3 linked regions of the Caenorhabditis elegans genome follow. The protein of the gene in region 1 interacts with the protein of each later gene in a biochemical or structural test. Each region holds a gene or a part of one and is shown in the gene's direction. Other genes may lie near its edges.

Evidence for each region.
Region 2: the proteins of mcm-3 (region 1) and dsh-1 form a complex in vitro, tested with the Caenorhabditis elegans proteins (one study listed by BioGRID).
Region 3: the proteins of mcm-3 (region 1) and mpz-1 form a complex in vitro, tested with the Caenorhabditis elegans proteins (one study listed by BioGRID).

What each region holds. Positions count from the first base shown.
Region 1 is NC_003283.11:15,056,195-15,061,399, reverse strand, and holds mcm-3 (DNA replication licensing factor MCM3), read left to right. Parts: upstream 1-1,800; 5' UTR 1,801-1,805; coding exon 1,806-2,014; intron 2,015-2,059; coding exon 2,060-2,152; intron 2,153-2,203; coding exon 2,204-3,568; intron 3,569-3,621; coding exon 3,622-4,274; intron 4,275-4,321; coding exon 4,322-4,440; 3' UTR 4,441-4,681; downstream 4,682-5,205. Other genes in the region: nssp-71 (neuronal small secreted protein), read right to left, coding at 1-110, 161-225, 271-384, 965-1,016; C25D7.16 (40S ribosomal protein S20), read right to left, coding at 4,682-4,888, 4,934-5,083.
Region 2 is NC_003280.10:5,214,625-5,222,524, reverse strand, and holds the start of dsh-1 (DiSHevelled related), read left to right. Parts: upstream 1-1,850; coding exon 1,851-3,369; intron 3,370-3,483; coding exon 3,484-3,559; intron 3,560-3,857; exon of another isoform or gene 3,858-4,061; intron 4,062-4,870; coding exon 4,871-4,992; intron 4,993-5,039; coding exon 5,040-5,280; intron 5,281-5,334; coding exon 5,335-5,510; intron 5,511-5,948; coding exon 5,949-6,185; intron 6,186-6,233; coding exon 6,234-6,401; intron 6,402-6,693; coding exon 6,694-6,860; coding exon of another isoform or gene 6,861-6,902; exon of another isoform or gene 6,903-7,405; intron 7,406-7,480; coding exon 7,481-7,593; intron 7,594-7,875; coding exon 7,876-7,900.
Region 3 is NC_003280.10:10,775,077-10,779,906, reverse strand, and holds the start of mpz-1 (PDZ domain-containing protein), read left to right. Parts: upstream 1-1,780; coding exon 1,781-1,833; intron 1,834-4,830. Other genes in the region: ect-2 (Protein ECT2), read left to right, coding at 93-234, 297-426, 815-965.

The sequences.
Region 1 (5,205 bases):
GCAGGAACGACGATGGAGATGAGAATCGAGAAGCTCGTTGGACTGGAATTACAGTAATCTCCATTGCAAGTGTAGCATTGTCCGGTTCCACCTTGGGCTTGGCATTGCGTCTGGAAATTAATTTTTGCACGAAAAAATATATAAATTTATTTTTACTTACCATAAGCTGAGTACAGGCGACCAGGGCATTTCCAGGATCATTACATCCTTTAGTGGTCTGACGGACTGAAAATTCAGATTTTACAGATAATTTCCAGGCTTAAAACTCACATTTCTTCGGATTGTTCACTTTACAGTCGAACTTCATGCAGGTGTAGATGTTTCCCGGGCAGACTTGAGTGAACGCATTGAGAATACTATTTTGGACGAAGCATGTTGTGGATTCTGAAAAAAAGTCAATGTTCCAAAGCTCCAAGGTCTCGCCACGAAAGAAATATTTGCAAATCGTGAAAGGTACGCGCCTTTAAGCGGTACAGTAACGACTTTTTTTTTCAGATTTTTCGGTTTATTTTCAACTTAGTTTTCAAATAAACATTTTTGAACCCTGGAAAAACTGTACCTCTTAAAGGCGCACACCAAGCCCCTTAGATCAGATCTCGACACTACCCATTATTAAATTTGCAAAAGTGTTTGCGCCTTTGAAGAGTACGGTAGTTTCTAACTTTTCTCAGAACAGTTTTCTCCTGTTTTCTAAAAATTGTTTCATTCTCAAGTAATTTCACTTGTGTAATTATCATTTTTTGATACTTAAAAAACGGAAGAAAAAACTATAGCAACTAAATAAAGAAAACCCGGAAACAATCTGAATACTACAGTACTCCTTAAAGGTGCACACTCGTTTGAAGAATAGTAAGCTAATAGATTTTGTCTTAAAAAAGTCGTTTCGAGACCCGGTACAGTACTCTTGGAGGCAACACGTTCAAAATTTCGCCAGTCCTGTTATAAATCTAGATTCAATTCTCACCTGTCTCTGAAATCCAGAGTACCAGAATCGAGATTGCGAGTAGAAGTTTCATGGTTTCGTATTCGTATCGTATTGCGAATATAAAACGAAAAAGCACAGAAAAAATAGCTTTGTGAATGAATGAATGAGTGAAGGCCCGAGCGGCGGCGGGAGGGTCCGATAGATGTTGTTTCAAACGGTTTCCAATGGTTTCCAGCACGCGGTGCGCTCAAGTTTCTAGGAGACAAAGTCAAAGCACTTAAAGCTTTACGGCATAAATTTTGTGTATATGTGTGCTTTTGTGACCACTTTCTTCCCATTTCTATGTATAAATGTATTACGAAAGGTGCGTCCTGGGGGAGGCAGGGAGAAAATAAGAAAGATGGGATGAATAGAATGGAAAAGCATCTGTGTCTGTGAGTTTGTGAGTACTGAAACAATAGATTCCATTTTTGTGATTTGTTATGAAAAATTGAGGAGATTTTTGGAAGAGATCTTTTGCATAGATCACGGGCACAAATGTTATTGATGTTTTTTGAAACTTGAAATGACAATTTTGAACTGATAATTTCAGACAATTTTCATTTTATTCCAGGCATTTTTATTTAAATAAAATTATTTCGCTATTAATAGCTATTTAAAATAAACATGTTCAAACATCACTTTCAGGTGCATTGAGTGCAGCGTTGCGTCATGGTGTTTACGGAGCGAGCGCGCGAAACCTTGCTGTTTGAATGAGAAATGCGCGAATTTGGGCCGAATTTTTCTATTTTCCCCGCTCTTCTCCGTGCTTTCTAGTTTCTATTCGTTTATTTTTTAATTTTAAGTTTCTTTTGTTAAAAACATCTTATTTTCAGAAAAAATGGACGGACAAGCTGATGGAATGTTCATTGATCGTGCCGAGGATGCTCGAAAACAAGAAATCACGGAGCAGTATCTCAACTTTTTGGACAATCAAGCCGACACTTTTCACTATCGTCAGAAAATTGTGAAAATGATGAATGATGGAGAAAGTCGTTTGGTGATGAATCTCGATGAAATCAGGGAAATTCTACCAGAAAGAGCTGAAGGGTAATTAATAAAAAATAAAGAATTCCCGAGTATTAAAGTTTTCAGGCTATTGACCCAAAGCGTTCTTGAGATGAATTGCTTACAATCTGCACTTCAAATGGCTATTAATCGTAGTGATGTTCAAGCTGTTGTCAAAACGTGAGTAGCTTTTAAAAGCCGTTTTTGTTTTTAAACAATTTGTATTTTCAGTGGATTCCACGTCGGCTTTGAAGGAACTTTCGGAGAGCGCCACGTCAATCCACGTACTCTCAAATCATCATATCTTGGAAACCTTGTCTGCTGTGAGGGAATCGTCACAAAGTGTTCAACTGTTCGTCAAAAACTTCTCACTTCTGTCCACTATTGTCCAGCAACAAATAAAGTGCTCGAGAAGAAATTTGCCGATTTCACTATGCTCGACACTGCAGTCACCAATAACAACTATCCAACAGAAGATGAAAATAAGAATCCTCTTGAAACAGAATTCGGACATTCAGTTTACAAGGATCATCAAACGTTCACAATTCAAGAGCTTCCAGAATCCGCACCAGCCGGTCAACTTCCTCGGGCCGTCGATTGTGTTGCTGATCTTGATTTGGCAGATCGCGTCAAGCCTGGAGATCGTGTCCGCATCATTGGAGTCTTCCGTGTTCTGCCGAATAAGCAGAATGGAGTTTCGTCTGGATCCTTCCGTTCGATCATCATCATTAATCATATTCAAATGCTTTCAAAGGAGGTTATTCCAAACTTTGAGCCACAAGATGTTAAAGATGTTCGTAAAATTTCAAAGTCAAGAAACCCATTTGAGCTGCTCGCTCGGTCACTTGCTCCATCAATTTGCGGCCACGAAGAGACAAAGAAAGCGTTGCTCTGTTTGTTGCTAGGTGGAATGGAAAAGATTCTGAACAATGGTTCTCGTTTGAGGGGAGATATCAATGTTCTTCTCATCGGAGATCCATCTGTTGCCAAGTCTCAACTGCTTCGATATGTTCTTCGTATGGCCCCAAGAGCTATCACCACAACTGGACGTGGATCTTCGGGTGTTGGACTTACTGCTGCTGTTACTACTGATCCTGATTCGGGAGAACGTCGTCTTGAAGCTGGAGCAATGGTTCTCGCCGATCGTGGTGTCGTTTGTATTGATGAATTTGACAAGATGTCTGATATTGATAGAACTGCAATCCACGAAGTTATGGAACAGGGACGTGTCACAATTTCGAAGGCTGGAATCCACGCGAAGCTGAATGCTCGTTGCTCGGTTCTGGCTGCAGCAAATCCGGTGTACGGACGATACAATCCATTCAAATCTCCAATGGAAAACATCGGAATGCAAGATTCACTCCTCTCGCGTTTCGATTTGATCTTTGTACTTCTTGATGAGCATGATGCGGACAAGGACGCTAATGTCGCTGAACATGTGCTCAAGCTTCACACTTACAGAACCCAAGGTGAAGCCGATGGAACTGTTCTTCCGATGGGTGGAGGTGTTGAGACGATCAGTACAATCAATATGGAGACTAAGAAGGCGAGCAGCTCGATCTATGAGGAAAATACCCAATGGGCTGGTATTCAAGAGTGAGTTTCTTTTATAAAAAAACAATATAAATTAATTAATTTCTCTATTTCAGCACGAAAATCCTGACAATGGACTTCATGAGAAAGTACATCCATTTGGCAAGATCAGTTCAACCAAAACTCACCGATGAAGCTACTGAGTACATTTCTGAAGTATATGCCGATATTCGTTCATTTGATATCACCAAAACTGATCAAGAACGAACAATGCCTGTCACCGCTCGTCAACTCGAAACATTGATTCGTTTGTCAACTGCTATCGCGAAGGCAAGATTCTCGAAAAAAGTCGAACGAGAGGATACTGAGAAAGCTTACAATCTGCTCCACTTTGCCTGTTTCAAGGAGAAGCCAAAGGCTCGTCAAGAGTATGAGAAGAAGAAGCGAGCTCCACGAATTGATGGTGACGATGATGAGGATCAGAGCGATAACGAGGACATGGCAACATCGGAAGAGCCTCAATCTAGCTCCGTTCCGACTGCAGCCACCCCGCGTCGTGGAGTCAGAAGGCGTGCTGAAGATGATGATAGCCAGGATTCTATGATGGATACTACCATTGGAGAAAGTCAGCCAACTGCTAAGAAAGCACGTACTGGACCGGCTGCCATCGGAGTTGATCGTTATAAGGAGCTTCGGAAGTACGTCAGAAAGGCGTTCGACGACATTGGAAGCACCGACGATATGGTTGAACTTCAAATTATCACAGACAGTAAGCAAATGTTTCATTAAAAATGTTTATTACAAAAATGTTTTCAGGTGTTCAAACTCAAGCCGGATCACACAAGTTCACTGAGGATGAGCTGAAGGCTGGATACGAACAATTGGAAAACGATAACGCTGCAATGATTGCCGAAGATAAGATCACTCTCATCTAATTTCCTGCTGGAAGCTGGAACATAAGCCCCGTTTTCTTTTCGATCTCTCAATCAAATCATTATTTTATCCTTTTTTTCACCTGATTATCATTCCTATTTCATTTTAACTAGGGTCTCCTAATCCACTCACATTGATTTTACATTGCCTATTGTACTATGTTGTCTCTCTCTTTTCTCTTTATTCCTCCCCCTATTATATCTCTTTATCAATCGCGTAACCGGATAAAAGAAGTACTCTTGGTCATTGATTCTTTGTGGAGACTGTCTGAACGCCGGTCGACATGCGAGCCTTCTTTCCACGTTTCGCTGCCTTCTCCTGTCGATACTGAATTCCGGTACATCCGAGTCGATGGTCACCAACCAACGGAATGGTGTTCGCTTGAACCGCTTTGCAACGATTTGTGTCAGGGAATTCCATTGGCTTCAATTCGATTCTCACATGAATTTCCTGGAAAACAATTATTTGGAAAGGAATGAGAAAGTGGAAACATACCTCATTTTTCTTGAACAAAACTACATTCGTCTCTCGGATATTTCGAGTTTTTATTCCTTTCAGCGCCTCCAAAATTTTTTGCTCAATTGTTGGAATTTCATTCCAATTAACACGAATTTCAATCGATTGTTGAACGGAAGAAGACGTCATTTTTTAGATTCGAAGATATAGGAAATACATTTTTTTGGAACGATTTATTAGCTTTTTTTATTTTGAAATGTTTTTCAGCGTGAACAAAAAAATATAGAAACCCGCTTAATAAATATGAGAAA
Region 2 (7,900 bases), on another chromosome or scaffold:
GATATCTAGTTGCATTGAAAGGCTACCCAGCTGTTTTATTTCAAAAATTTTTGTTCTGAAATATCTGACAATGACATCTGAAAATGGTAAATTGCGAACAAGTCACAGCTAGTTTAGTTTAGCTTCGACATTAGAGAATAAAAAATTATTAACCAGATACCAAAAATATCTCTTTGCGACCTTAAGAACTGTAGTGTACGGTAGAATTTGTAAGCATTGTTAATTGGAAAAATATGTTCTTTGACATCCAATTCTCGATCTTTTGTAACATTAGTCCTTGAACTTCTCTGTTAGGGGGTCAACCGGGCTCCTTGCTTGCTCCACCACTTTTTGTGAGAAACCGTTCTCTATATCTCTGTGCTCGACGTCAGTGGGAATGAAAACCCGAAGACCGATGAGTTTATCACAGTGTTTATCAAGATGCTTTCCTTCTGTCTCTCTCTCCACTTGAACACTCTTCTCGAGACCTCATACCACTTCACCCCACTTTTAGTTAGTTTTTTTTGTCCGCTCACTTGTCGATTTCTGTGTATGTTTCTACTTGTCACTATTATCGTTTTTGTGTCGAAATAGTCTCTAGTACCCACCCCAGGATCTCATAATATTGCTCTCATTCTCGTTAACACGAAAATAGATATCTGCCTTATAATAGTGAGATCTGTGGTTTTATTTACTTTCGGATATCCCTCACTTGTGATTTCTATCATGATACCTATCGGGATTTTGGGGAGAAAAGACAGTTTGATAATGATCTTTTCTATGCTTTATCCGCTTTTCCTGCCTCCGATCAATGTTTGCTAGCCCATGTGTGTAGGTGGATTCAAACATTTGATTTTATACTTCGTCATCATCAAGAGCCATTGCAACATGTTTCAGTGAGATCAATTTGCAACTCTTTGTTCAACTAGTCATGATGAAAAATTTTCGATCAATATTCTTTAAGCAACTGCCATTTAATCTGACCATAGCAAATTGTGTTTTCCTCTGGATCTCTGCGGTGTTTGACTGTGAGCCATAAGTCAAGTTGCAATTTGTTGATATAAATAACTGATAGTGAGCTCTTGGTTTTAGTTGTCATGTGCCATTTTCCAGCCCACCAGTTGAAGAAATTTGTTAGTTGAGAAATGGTAACACTTATTCTGAAGCTCTTTTGCGAAACGGGGAAAATCTTATTAATTGATAGCCACATAGTTTCGACCGAAACGTATTGAACTATAATTTTAATTTTATTAGATGTATCAGTGAATGTTAACGATTAATTAAATAAAAGTTAAATGAAAGCAAACATTTGTCTTTCAAAATAACATCGAGATTTAAGCGTATAAAAACTTGAGTTTTTTTTAAATTTTTCTACTGTTATGGCTTGAATCTTAACAAACTCATAGACCAATTATATTATATTAAAATTATAATATCTCAATCTTTGCATTTCTCATTATATAGGAATTTATCAATTTTAGATGTCACTATCATAGTCGAGTCAATTGAGATTTAACATGACATATGTCAAGTCCGATTAAAGTTTAACGACAGTGTTTATGGTGTCAACAGGATTATTTTGAGTACCAACTTTCCCGATGTGTCGACTATTAAATTCTCAGTTTCTCTCTAAATTCCCAGCACATGATAAAAGTAAAACGAAAGTATCTGTTTCTAATCCAAGTGCATCATGAGCCACAAGATGGGATGCTGGGAAATTTATGACCCCCCATCGAGGTGTGTTTCTCGTTTCTTTCTCTTCTTTTTATTACCTTCAAGCTTTTTTATTACTTCCCAGCTCTATTACTATCAAAAACTTAAAACCGATTTTCTAGAGAACGACACGATTGCTCATAGCTCACTAGCGAGCAATGAGTATCAAGCTTGGAGCTCGAGATAGAGCCCTTCCATCTCCTTCTGGCTCCTCAAATACCCCATCCACTTCATCTGATATGATTCGCTCATTATTATTCACTTCAAAAGAACGAAAAGTCCGTTCGACATACACGGCTCCTCCACCAAATCGACAACACTCGCCGGGAGTTGTATCACAATTGATTAACAAGATTGAGTTGAAAACGTCACCTACAAATACATCGTCAAGACCAAAAAAGAAGAAAAAGGCTCCACCACTTGCTAAGATTGATGATCTTGATTTGGTTGATGATGAGAAAACTATCGTCTCGGAAGTTGTAAAAAGTCCAAGAAGGAAGAAATATACAGGAAATCCATTAGGAAATTTGAAAATTCTGAACAACATTCTCCCTTCCTCCAAAGCTTCTGATGATAAGGAAAATTCAGGAAGCCAGCAGCAACCAAGTACGGGGAAAAAGTTGAAGAAGAGCAGAAGTAAAAGTCGTGTGGAGCCGGAGTCTGAGGCACCATTTCGATTAAAACGGACTTTAACTGATCTCACAAATAATCATACACCTGCCGGATCCACATGGCGACAGATGGTCTCAAATGCGCTCGGTGGTCCACTTAAAAAACGGCTCAGCGAGGGGGCTCTCCTGTTTCCCGGCACCAGCAAAGCATCAGATGATTGTAACGACGAAGAGGGGGATAATACTAAGACGACAACGAAGCGCAGATTTTTACAACGACGGAAACAAAGCGAAAAAAGTGCAGGAGGCGCCAACGGAAAAGAGTCCGGTGGTGGTTCCGCCTCTTCATCGTTTTTTGGAGCTCTTATCAGATTGTCCCACTCGGCTGCAAGTTTAACGTCTTTAACTTCACTTGGTGGTTCAAAATCTCGGTCTGCATCTCCATCACCATCAAGTTCTCGATCTAATACTAAAGAATTCAAAGAGAATCTGAGCCCACCTCAGCCACCACCACCGGATCTCATTGCACCAGCTGCAGCATTAGCCAGACCAACTTTTTCCCTTGCGGCTCCTGATTCCCCTGTTTCACTTGCTCCGCCATCTAGGGAGCTCAGAAAATCCAAAACGTGTCAAATAACCACCGATCGTCCACCTATTATTCCTAGTATTACTATATCTGAAAGTCGAAGTTTGAACCGAATCGATAGGTGTCGGCCGGTCACTGTAGATGGAAGTGGTCTATCATCTGATTGCCGACCTCTTGTTTCACGAAGAAGCACAATGAGCCGTACAATGTCACTGATTCCAACTAGTCCATCGCTTCCGCCACTTTATGAGGAAGAAACAGCAAGTACAGCGGCAATGGTGGAAGAGGAGAGAGCGGATCGAGCACAGAAGCGCAGAATGCGAAGGTACGGCGGATCAAATACAACAAGTACTTATCAAGGAAGGAAAGATGTTGCACCGGATGCTTCGCCGAGAAGACATCTTATTGGATTTCTACATAGGACGTCACATCTATCCTTAACCTCTGAACTTAGTGCAGATGCATCGTTTTATTTGATCGGTAGGTAAATGATGGCGAAAAATGATGTGATCAAGTAAAGGGTAATAGGTTCAAAAAACAAAATCTTATGAAAATTTGAAAAAGCATCGAATTCTAAGTTTTCTTAAATTCCAGGGCACCGACGACATCTCGAAGAATCAACAATTGGCTCCGAATCCGATGCAAGAGTATTTTCAGATGATGATGATAGGTATGTTTTTTTTTTTAATTTTATAAACATAGGTTTCATTTCATTGAATTTTTATGTAAAGCCAGTACTCTGGTGACAGTGTTCCTTTCAAAATTTAGTGTATTTTATTCGGCAAATTTTTATTTATAAAAAATTAAAGCAAAAGTTTAAGTTATAATAGGGCTACATTCAGGTCTTGCAGGGCTATCTCAAGGAATATGCAACATTGAAAAAAATTTACATTCAAAATATAACAACTCATAAAAACAAAACCAAGTTTACGAATAGGCAATACCCCTTTGAAATTTTAAATTTTAAATATTTTCAAAAATTCGATGGTTTTCATTTTGCCTCTCAAATAGTTAATACCTTTTTTTGTGTCTTCTCTGTCTGTCACATAAAGTGACAAATGACTAGGCTTAAAGCGGGCCTTCATCCCCGCTCACTCTGCCCCCAATGATTTCGCCCTTCCGCTCCTCAAATAGTGAAATGAGCGGCTACATAACTGACGATGATTTCGCAAGCTCTGATGGTAAAGCCTATTATTCAACAACTTCCACTTCAACTTCTGATTATTACTATGCAATTGGAACAGCTCCGCCGAGCAGCACGGGTGCCACAACTCGCGACGTGTCAGTTCATTTATTCTGCGATAAGACACAGCTCGTTAAATTTGAGCAATTCCTGCTTGGCGCTTATCTTCTAGCTAAAGCCTGGTAGTGACTATCACAACAAGCTCTTAGTGTTGTGCACTATTTGAAGGAAACTAATAAAAATTGGGGAGGGGAAGAAAAGGACGTGAGAACGGGTGGAAAGAGATGGATGAGAAGTGGATAATTGCTTTCGATAAATCTTTCAGTTCTTTTCGGATTTTGTGGAACAAACTTCTAGGTTGTAACTTTAAGGAATTTGAACATTTTGTTTTGTGCAGTGCTCCGCTTATATTTAGAATTTCACGGAACACAATTCTCATTAGTTTTCCTTTTTTAGCTAGTGAAAACCATGTAAAATTTTAGTTGATAACGTTCAAAGTTACTCACGAGTTGCAAAAATCACTGAAAACCACAGTAAGATTTTCAAAAAATTATGAAATTTTTATTTACAGTCCAAAATGGAAATTAACCAGTTTTCGCTTATCATAAATTAATAATTCGATTTTAAAAAATTTCTACAGTTTTTTTTTAAATTTTAAAATCATTTGTATTTATTTTGTGGGGCATCGAATATGCAAAGCTTCTTTAAGTTTCTCAATAAGACTCAATTTTCAAAAGTTGGACTGAAAATTCTGAAAAATCTATAACAATTTCAACTATAAAACGTTCAATTTTTCAGAGGCTCTACAACAACCGATTTCACATCAGTATCCCGACAACATGAAAAAATGGCAAAGAAAAAGAAGAATAAAAGAAATTTCCGAAAACCCTCTAGAGCATCTTCGTTTTCAAGTATCACAGGTATGACCTCTTCGAAATTAGCATAACTTTTACCATTCGAATTCCAGAGTCCTCTATGAGCCTTGATGTAATAACAGTGAACCTCAATATGGATACAGTCAATTTCCTTGGCATTTCAATTGTTGGTCAAACTTCTAATTGTGGTGATAATGGAATCTACGTAGCAAATATCATGAAGGGAGGTGCAGTGGCATTGGATGGAAGAATTGAAGCTGGTGATATGATTTTACAAGTCAATGAGACCAGCTTTGAGAATTTCACTAACGATCAAGCTGTTGATGTGTTACGGTAAAAATTATTATTTTTTACTGAGAGCTTATTCTTCAACATATGAATTTTCAGAGAAGCTGTTAGCCGTCGTGGCCCCATCAAATTAACTGTGGCGAAAAGTTTTGAAAATGGGCAAAGTTGTTTCACAATACCAAGGAATAGCAGAGAAGAGCCTGTGAGACCAATCGATACTCAAGCATGGATCCAGCATACGAATGCAATGAGAGGAATGCCAAGTATAGTTGAAGGTATGGTTTTTTGATTGGAAGTGTAGAAAAACTAAACAAAATACCTGCCTGTTATTTGATTGATCTTTTTATTTTTTGCAAAATTATAAGCTGCACTCTCAACCTATTCAACTTCAGGCTGAAATTTATTCAGTGCATTTCTTCGCTACTTTCAAGTTGATGTTTTTCAGACTTCTGATGTTTTAGGATATTTTAAAGTAGAACAACATTTGGAAAGCTTTTTGGAATTTTCAATTTTTTTTTGAAACAAAAATAAAAATATGAAATTTTTCACATCTCTAATTTTGAAGGCTGAATGTAAAATTAAGTCAAACCTTTTTTCTGCACCAAAATTTTGAAAACAGGTAGGCAGGCAGGAAGACAGCCTCGATGTTGTTTTTTGTTCTTCTTCTACGTTATTCTCCTACAAATATCTATTAATTAAAAAATTTTTTCCAGAAAGTGCACCGACACCAATTCCTGGTGAATGGCCTCATGGTCGACCGCCAAGCAGCTCAACGGTGACCTCAAACGGATCAAATGGTCAAAATACAGTAGTCGGCGGCGGAGCTCATATTATTCTTGATATACACACTGACAAAAAGAAGGTTGTCGAAATAATGGCTATGCCTGGCTCTGGTCTTGATATCAAAAATCGAACATGGCTCAAAATTCCGATTCCCATGTCGTTCTTGGGTAAGTTTTGAATGAACGTGTAGAGCCTATTCTAATTCTCAATTTTAGGATCTGATCTGGTCGAATGGCTTTTGGATCATGTTGAAGGGCTTCGAGAACGGAAGACAGCACGAAACTTTGCGGCGGATTTACTGAAATTAAAGTATATTGCACATGTGGTGAACAAGGTCACATTCACTGAGCAGTGCTATTATGTCCTTGGAGATGAGTGTTCAGGTAGGAAAGTATACATTTATTCGGAAAATGTCAAAGTTTTTGTATATGAAGATGGAAGTGGGTCTTTTGAAATCTTTAATGCAATTTTTTTGAACTGAAATGTTAAAAATTTGTTTTAAAAAATTATTTTTTTCAAATTATATTTTTAAAACAAATTTTTCACTGATGCACAAAAATGTCTGCCTGTAATCTCCATAGGAATGCAAAAAAGTTGGTTGCATTCAAGGCTGCCCTGCCTGATTCAAAACATGAAATTCAACCCTTCTTGTTATATCTTCTAAATTACTTCCAGACTATGCCCGATTCCGAAATGAAGATGGTGGACCCAAATACCAATGGACCATCGGAATGAACGGAATGTCTGCTGGCAACGGAAGCTCTGTGATGCTCCCACCCCCACATTTACCTGGAGGTATGGCTGGCCCTCCTGGAGCTTTTAAAGGGATGGCTCCGTCAATGGTAAGCGACGGCGAATCGCGCATGTATGTAATGCACATTTAGAATGTCATCATTTTTCTTCATGTTTATGTTTCATTATGTCTGGTAATCAATGCCAAAATGGCATAATTCAAAATAGTTTCTCTCACAGTACACCATGTACCCGGTATTACAATAAGTTCTAATTTAATATTTTGTAACTTCTAAGTCTCCAATCATGAATCAAAATTTCATATGTTCCCGGTGATTGTAATTTTGGATGTTTTTCCTTTATTTGATTATTCTATTTTTGAATCTGTCCGTCGATTTTTTGTTGCATTTCCTTCTCAAATTCACACGAATTGCGATCTTCTTCACGAGTTCCCCACATCCTTGTCTGAAATAGATGCACCCTATACTAAGAAAAAAAACGTCTTGTTTTCTATTGCATTTGCCCTAAAATTATTGTTTATATTCGATATCATTGTTATTTTCTCGCCCCCTCATTTCTCAGTAGCATGTAAATGTATCAGTCCAATGTTGCCACCCACAAGAATGACAGAATAATAAATAATATTCTGAATCAAAAGAATGTTGTTATATTTCACACCACACGAACATTGCAAAGTGAGAAATATATTATTTGAAAAATATATAAACAGGTAAGTGGATATGCATCAATGCCGGCTTCACCATTCCCACCAGCTCAATTGCAGCAACAGAGAAGAGAAGGAAGTACAACCAGTGGAAGTAGTGGCGGTGGAATTAGAAAACAGTGAGTTTTTCCACTATAAACATACAAAGAAATTTTTGTATTTTGTAAAGATATATAGCTTTTTTAAACATTTTCAAGAAAAAAATAAAATTCAAAACCACACCAAAAGAACTTGTTTCTTAAGTTGGAAAAAAGTGAAAAGTGTGAGGCACTGGAAATTTAAAAACTTTCGTCTGAATTTCTCTGACTTCAAAAGTTCCAATTTTATATAACACGGTAGACTCTAACATTTTTGACATAGTTTTTCGAAATAACTCCCAATATAATTTTAAAATATTTCAGACGAGTTGTTGTTCTTCCCAGAAAA
Region 3 (4,830 bases), on another chromosome or scaffold:
GAGAAATGAAGTTTGATACATGAGTGGAGAAATTAAAATTGTCCACAGTGTTACACCTAACTTGAATGCTTATATATAAACTTTTATTACAGGAATGGTCACACAATGAGTCGTTTATGCCACCACCACAGTCACAGAGTCGAATGCGACGAGCGTTCAGTAATGCTCAACTCACACTTGCCACCACGCTGGGCTTTGGCAGAAATCAGAGTCGAAATAACTTGGGACAAATTAGTGCGTTTTTAGAAAATTTATTTTTTTTTCTTCTGAAATTGTATTTGATTCACTAATTTCAGACGAGAACACGACATTTCTGCAGTCTCCCAGAGTTTCGTGTGATCCAGCAGCTCTCGCAAACATGACGTCAGTCGGCGGATTGCCTGGATGCCAAAGCGAATCTGAATCGACGCCAAAGCGAGGAATTCGGTACGTCAATGCACCCCACAGATTTATCGGAGACAACACGTTTTCGAGATCTGTCCGAAAAGTCAATTTGAAGATCTACGGTTTCAGGATGTGGCACCGTGTCAACTAGAAATACTCGTAGTTTTATCGAAGAAAAACTTAACAATGATGCTCCTTTGTTGTCACGTTTTTCTTCGAGAAAACCACGAAAATTTCTAATTGGCACGGTGCCAGATCCTGAAGCCGTAGATCTTCACATTGTAGATATTCTTTTAGTAGATCTTCTTTTAGTAGATCTTCTTTTCGGCCGGATCTTGAAGGCGTGTTGCCTCATTCATTGACCATATTTTCCCATGAGTTAATGCCAAATTGACACTCTACATCTAACATATCCTGTTAGTTATTTCAGTTCTCGCCTCACCTCGACAACGTTCCTCGGCGGCCGACACAACATACTCGGACGAAACACGTCGATGCGCCGTCAGGCTACCGGATTTGCTCATTCGGAAAAGGAACTACCTCGCTCAAAAACATCTTCATATCGTGTCACCGATATCTGAAACTCCCCGCACCCGTGTAACTGATAACTCGAATCTCTCCTCCGACTGATAAATAATTCGTTCTCACTCTTTTCCGAGCTTCATACCTCCAGATGCTCACCGGTGTATTTTGATGGTTTATTTCTTGCTTGCTCTCAGCTCCCTCCCTCTTACATTTTTCATGTTTTCACCCGTAGTTTTTCATTTCGTTTTTGTAATTACAACAACCGAAACTACCGTAATCACCATCCACAACTACGACCAGATCCTTTGTATCATACTGATTTACCATTTACCACAGGTGTATTTTTCCCCCCAAATCGTCATTATCATCTTCCTGTCCCCGAGGCTTGTGTGACCATTGCTCCTTGACTTTTATTATTTCCCCGAAATCACTTGTATGCCATTCTTATCCGATACCCCTTTCCCCTTTTATTCTCACCATTCATTTGAATGGTCATTCCCCCACAGTAACGTTACGATTACTTTTTTCTTTTTTTTTGAAAATTCAAATTTTATTCTTGTTAGAAAATGCGATAGGGGGTTCAAATGAAATTACACCCTACTTGTCTTTAAGTCTTTGAACTCTCTAAAAACAAAGAAACAAAGATGAGATTAGTGAGAAAAAGGAAACATGGGCGGAGCCTTATAGATGGCCCCTGGAGATTTCATATCTTGGAGCACATGCCGCTTGGCTTTTATTCATTCATTCCGAAACACGTCTTGGCCAGGATCCTGCATATTAGTATATTTTAAATTCAGATTTTTAAATTTTTTTTATCTTCTTAAAATTCGAGCTAATTAATTGTGATTCAGAATCTGGAATACATCATTGAATGATCGATGAGCCAGAGGATATAATAGCAGTTGAAGATGAAGCCGAAAGAAGGTAGGTCTGAAAAGAAAAAATGATTCGAAAGCGAGAAAAAAGATGTGCGTCTTTAATAAGTACAATAACCCGCAGATTCCCGTTATTTCGATAATTTCTCGGATTTTTCCACACATTCTTGCTAGAAAAATATTTTTTGTTCAGAAACAAAACTGAAACTTCTGGTAAAAGTGAATAAAATCGAAGAAAAATGGAAAACGCCGCAGCTGGGTTACTGTACAATTTAAAGGCGCGCACACTTTTCGCGCAGCCTCCAAATTTTATTGGGGAAAATCGCTAAAATTCGCAATTGGATAATAAGAGACTGTTTGAAAAACTTTCTCATACATTTTATCAGTTGATTTGGGGCACGATCGCGCTCCACTGCCAAATTAAAACGCCCCGCCCCTAAACGTTGGGTCTCGTTAGGAATTGGCGGCAAAACTAGAAATTCGAACATTTTCAGTCAATTTTCGCCAGTTTCGTTTTTAGGCTGTTTTTTTAAAATTATTTGTATGTTAAAATTGATGAAATAAAGCTGGTTATAAGTTTGGTTATAAAAAGCTGCGGCAAAAAAAGGGGGAAAATATATTTTAATAGAACGAAGGAAATGCAATGTCTCAATAATATAGTTAGACCCTTCATTTTGTACTCCATTTTTGGTGTCCCCCCGTCCAGAAGGAGACGTCTTCCTTTTCTTCTGCTTCTTCTTCTAATTATGCATCTCCTCTATACTTTTCCTCATCTTTTTTCTTCTTCGTTTTTTTCCTTGGTCCCATCTTTATTCCAATGTTTCTTTGTGTAGTACCACTACCATATGTTGTTCTTTTAATACACTTTCCCTCCTTTCTTGCCTCATTTTTCTTCATATTATAGACATGGTGCATCATGACTTGAAGCATCATGCACCCCCAAAAAAGAAAAAAAAGTAAACTAAGTCGAAAAAGTTTTCGAAAAAGCCCTTTTCCCTGATTCCTATACAAATAGCATTGTGCCAAGTGGACGTTGTTTGGTGGGAAAAAAGGTGCATAGAGAAGGGCGGGGGTCCCGGAGCCGGCTCAATGTTACATCCGTTTCGGAAGAGTTGAAGTAGACAAGGAGAAAGATGAATTTAAGGACTCTTGGGAACTACGCTAGAACACCTTTTCGCTTTTGTTTTCGGAAGTATAAAAAAAAACAGAAAAACTTAAAAAAAATAGAAACTTGATTTAAGCATAATGATTTTTCTGTACACAGAACTGTTATGGGGTTATTCAAGTAGTGTCGGAAAATTAAAAAGTGTAGAAAAATTACGTCACAACCTTATTCAAGTATATAAAAACATGTATTTAAATACATTTGTGACGTCACAAATGTATTTTAATACATTTTGCTACATTACTTGAATAACCCCATTACTCCAAAAATACGGTACCCGGTCTCGGAACGATAATTTTTTTGTTAATTTCAGACTGGTATGCGTCTTTAAAGTGTACTGTAGCCACAAACTTTTCTCATTGCAGATCGATTTTTTAACGCCTGTAACAATGTATATATGGGAAAGAAAAGTATTAAAAATCGATGAAAATTCCGCAGCAACAAATGTTCGAATTTACAGTACTTTTTAAAGGCGCATACCTTTTTGAATTTGAAAAAATTGTCGTGTCGAGACCAAGGACCGTATTATTGAGATAACAATCCGAACGCTTTGGCATCGGGGCTCCGGGAGCTTACCTGAAACCTTTCATCATCTGGAAGAAAACCTAAACTTTCCCGTTTTCCTTTCTGGAAGAACAATATTTCCGAACAGTTGCTTCATTGTTTATAGTTTTGGAAAATAATATTATAAGTTGCCGTATCTTTTTGTTTTCTTTCAACAAAAGATTCAATAGATTTGATTTAGGGTTGTCATACTATTTTCTACCATACGGTACCTACAGGCTTCACCCAAGTAATTAGAATTTTCGCATTCCTCTAAGCTTGGCTACATTTTTTTGTGAAGGCATTTTACAGGCGAGTGACGGGTGACATTCTGTCGCGCCTCAGTAGAACGCGAAGACGGGTGTTTCCACCTGAACCTTCTCACCCAATATGTAACTAACTTCTCAAAAACCAATCCTGGCTTCCACAGGACATCGATTCTCACCAGTTTCTCACCCGTATCAATCGGATAAATCTGGTCTTTTCTTCTTCTTCTTCTCAAGATGCTACTAGCCACCAACACAGAGCACGCCTACTCTTCCTCTCCGTCCGTCTACTCCGCGGCAGCTCCTCCGCCGCCAACTCCTTTTCTTTTCTTCATCTGCTACTTCTTCTTCTTCTTTTCGTCTTTCTGCTCCAACGCAAGACGATAGCTCAATTATCCACAAACACACACACACACATGGAGAGAAATACACACACACAAATGCATCACATTCGCACTCCGGGGAGGAATAGAAAAATAGACGTCGTGTACTTCCAGATTCTGGTTTTTTCTGATTTATGACAATTTTTTCCATTTCTGTCGTACAGTATTTTGTTTAACATTTTTTAAAAATATCTATATGCTGTCAGCACTTTTCATTCCGCCTCCAAGTTTAATAATTCCCCAAAGAACTTTTATCAATTATCCCTAGAAATTTGTTCTCTACAACTAATGTCGGCGTAACAGTCATGCGTAGGCGTTTTCGGCGTGAGGCAGGCAGAGGTCACCTTCAGGTTTGCCCTAATTTTGGATTTTTTGGCCTATTTTTCGAATTGCTTTTTTCCAACAAATGGATAGTTTTCAAAATGTGAATTTTAAGTAAAGATTTTTTTGAAAAAAAAAGAAGCTGGTCGCCTCGATGATTTGAGACCTTGGATAATCAGCTCGAAACTGGTAGATTATGTTTCGATATGAGTTCGGTTATGGATGGTTACTGTACACTATTGCTGGAAAACCGGACGTACACTTTACGTACACCAAAATCATGCCAGTCTTACTGTACACATTTTCAATATTCCAGAACATTTTTTTCTTAAAATGCACACAATTCTACTGAAACTTCTTGGAAGACG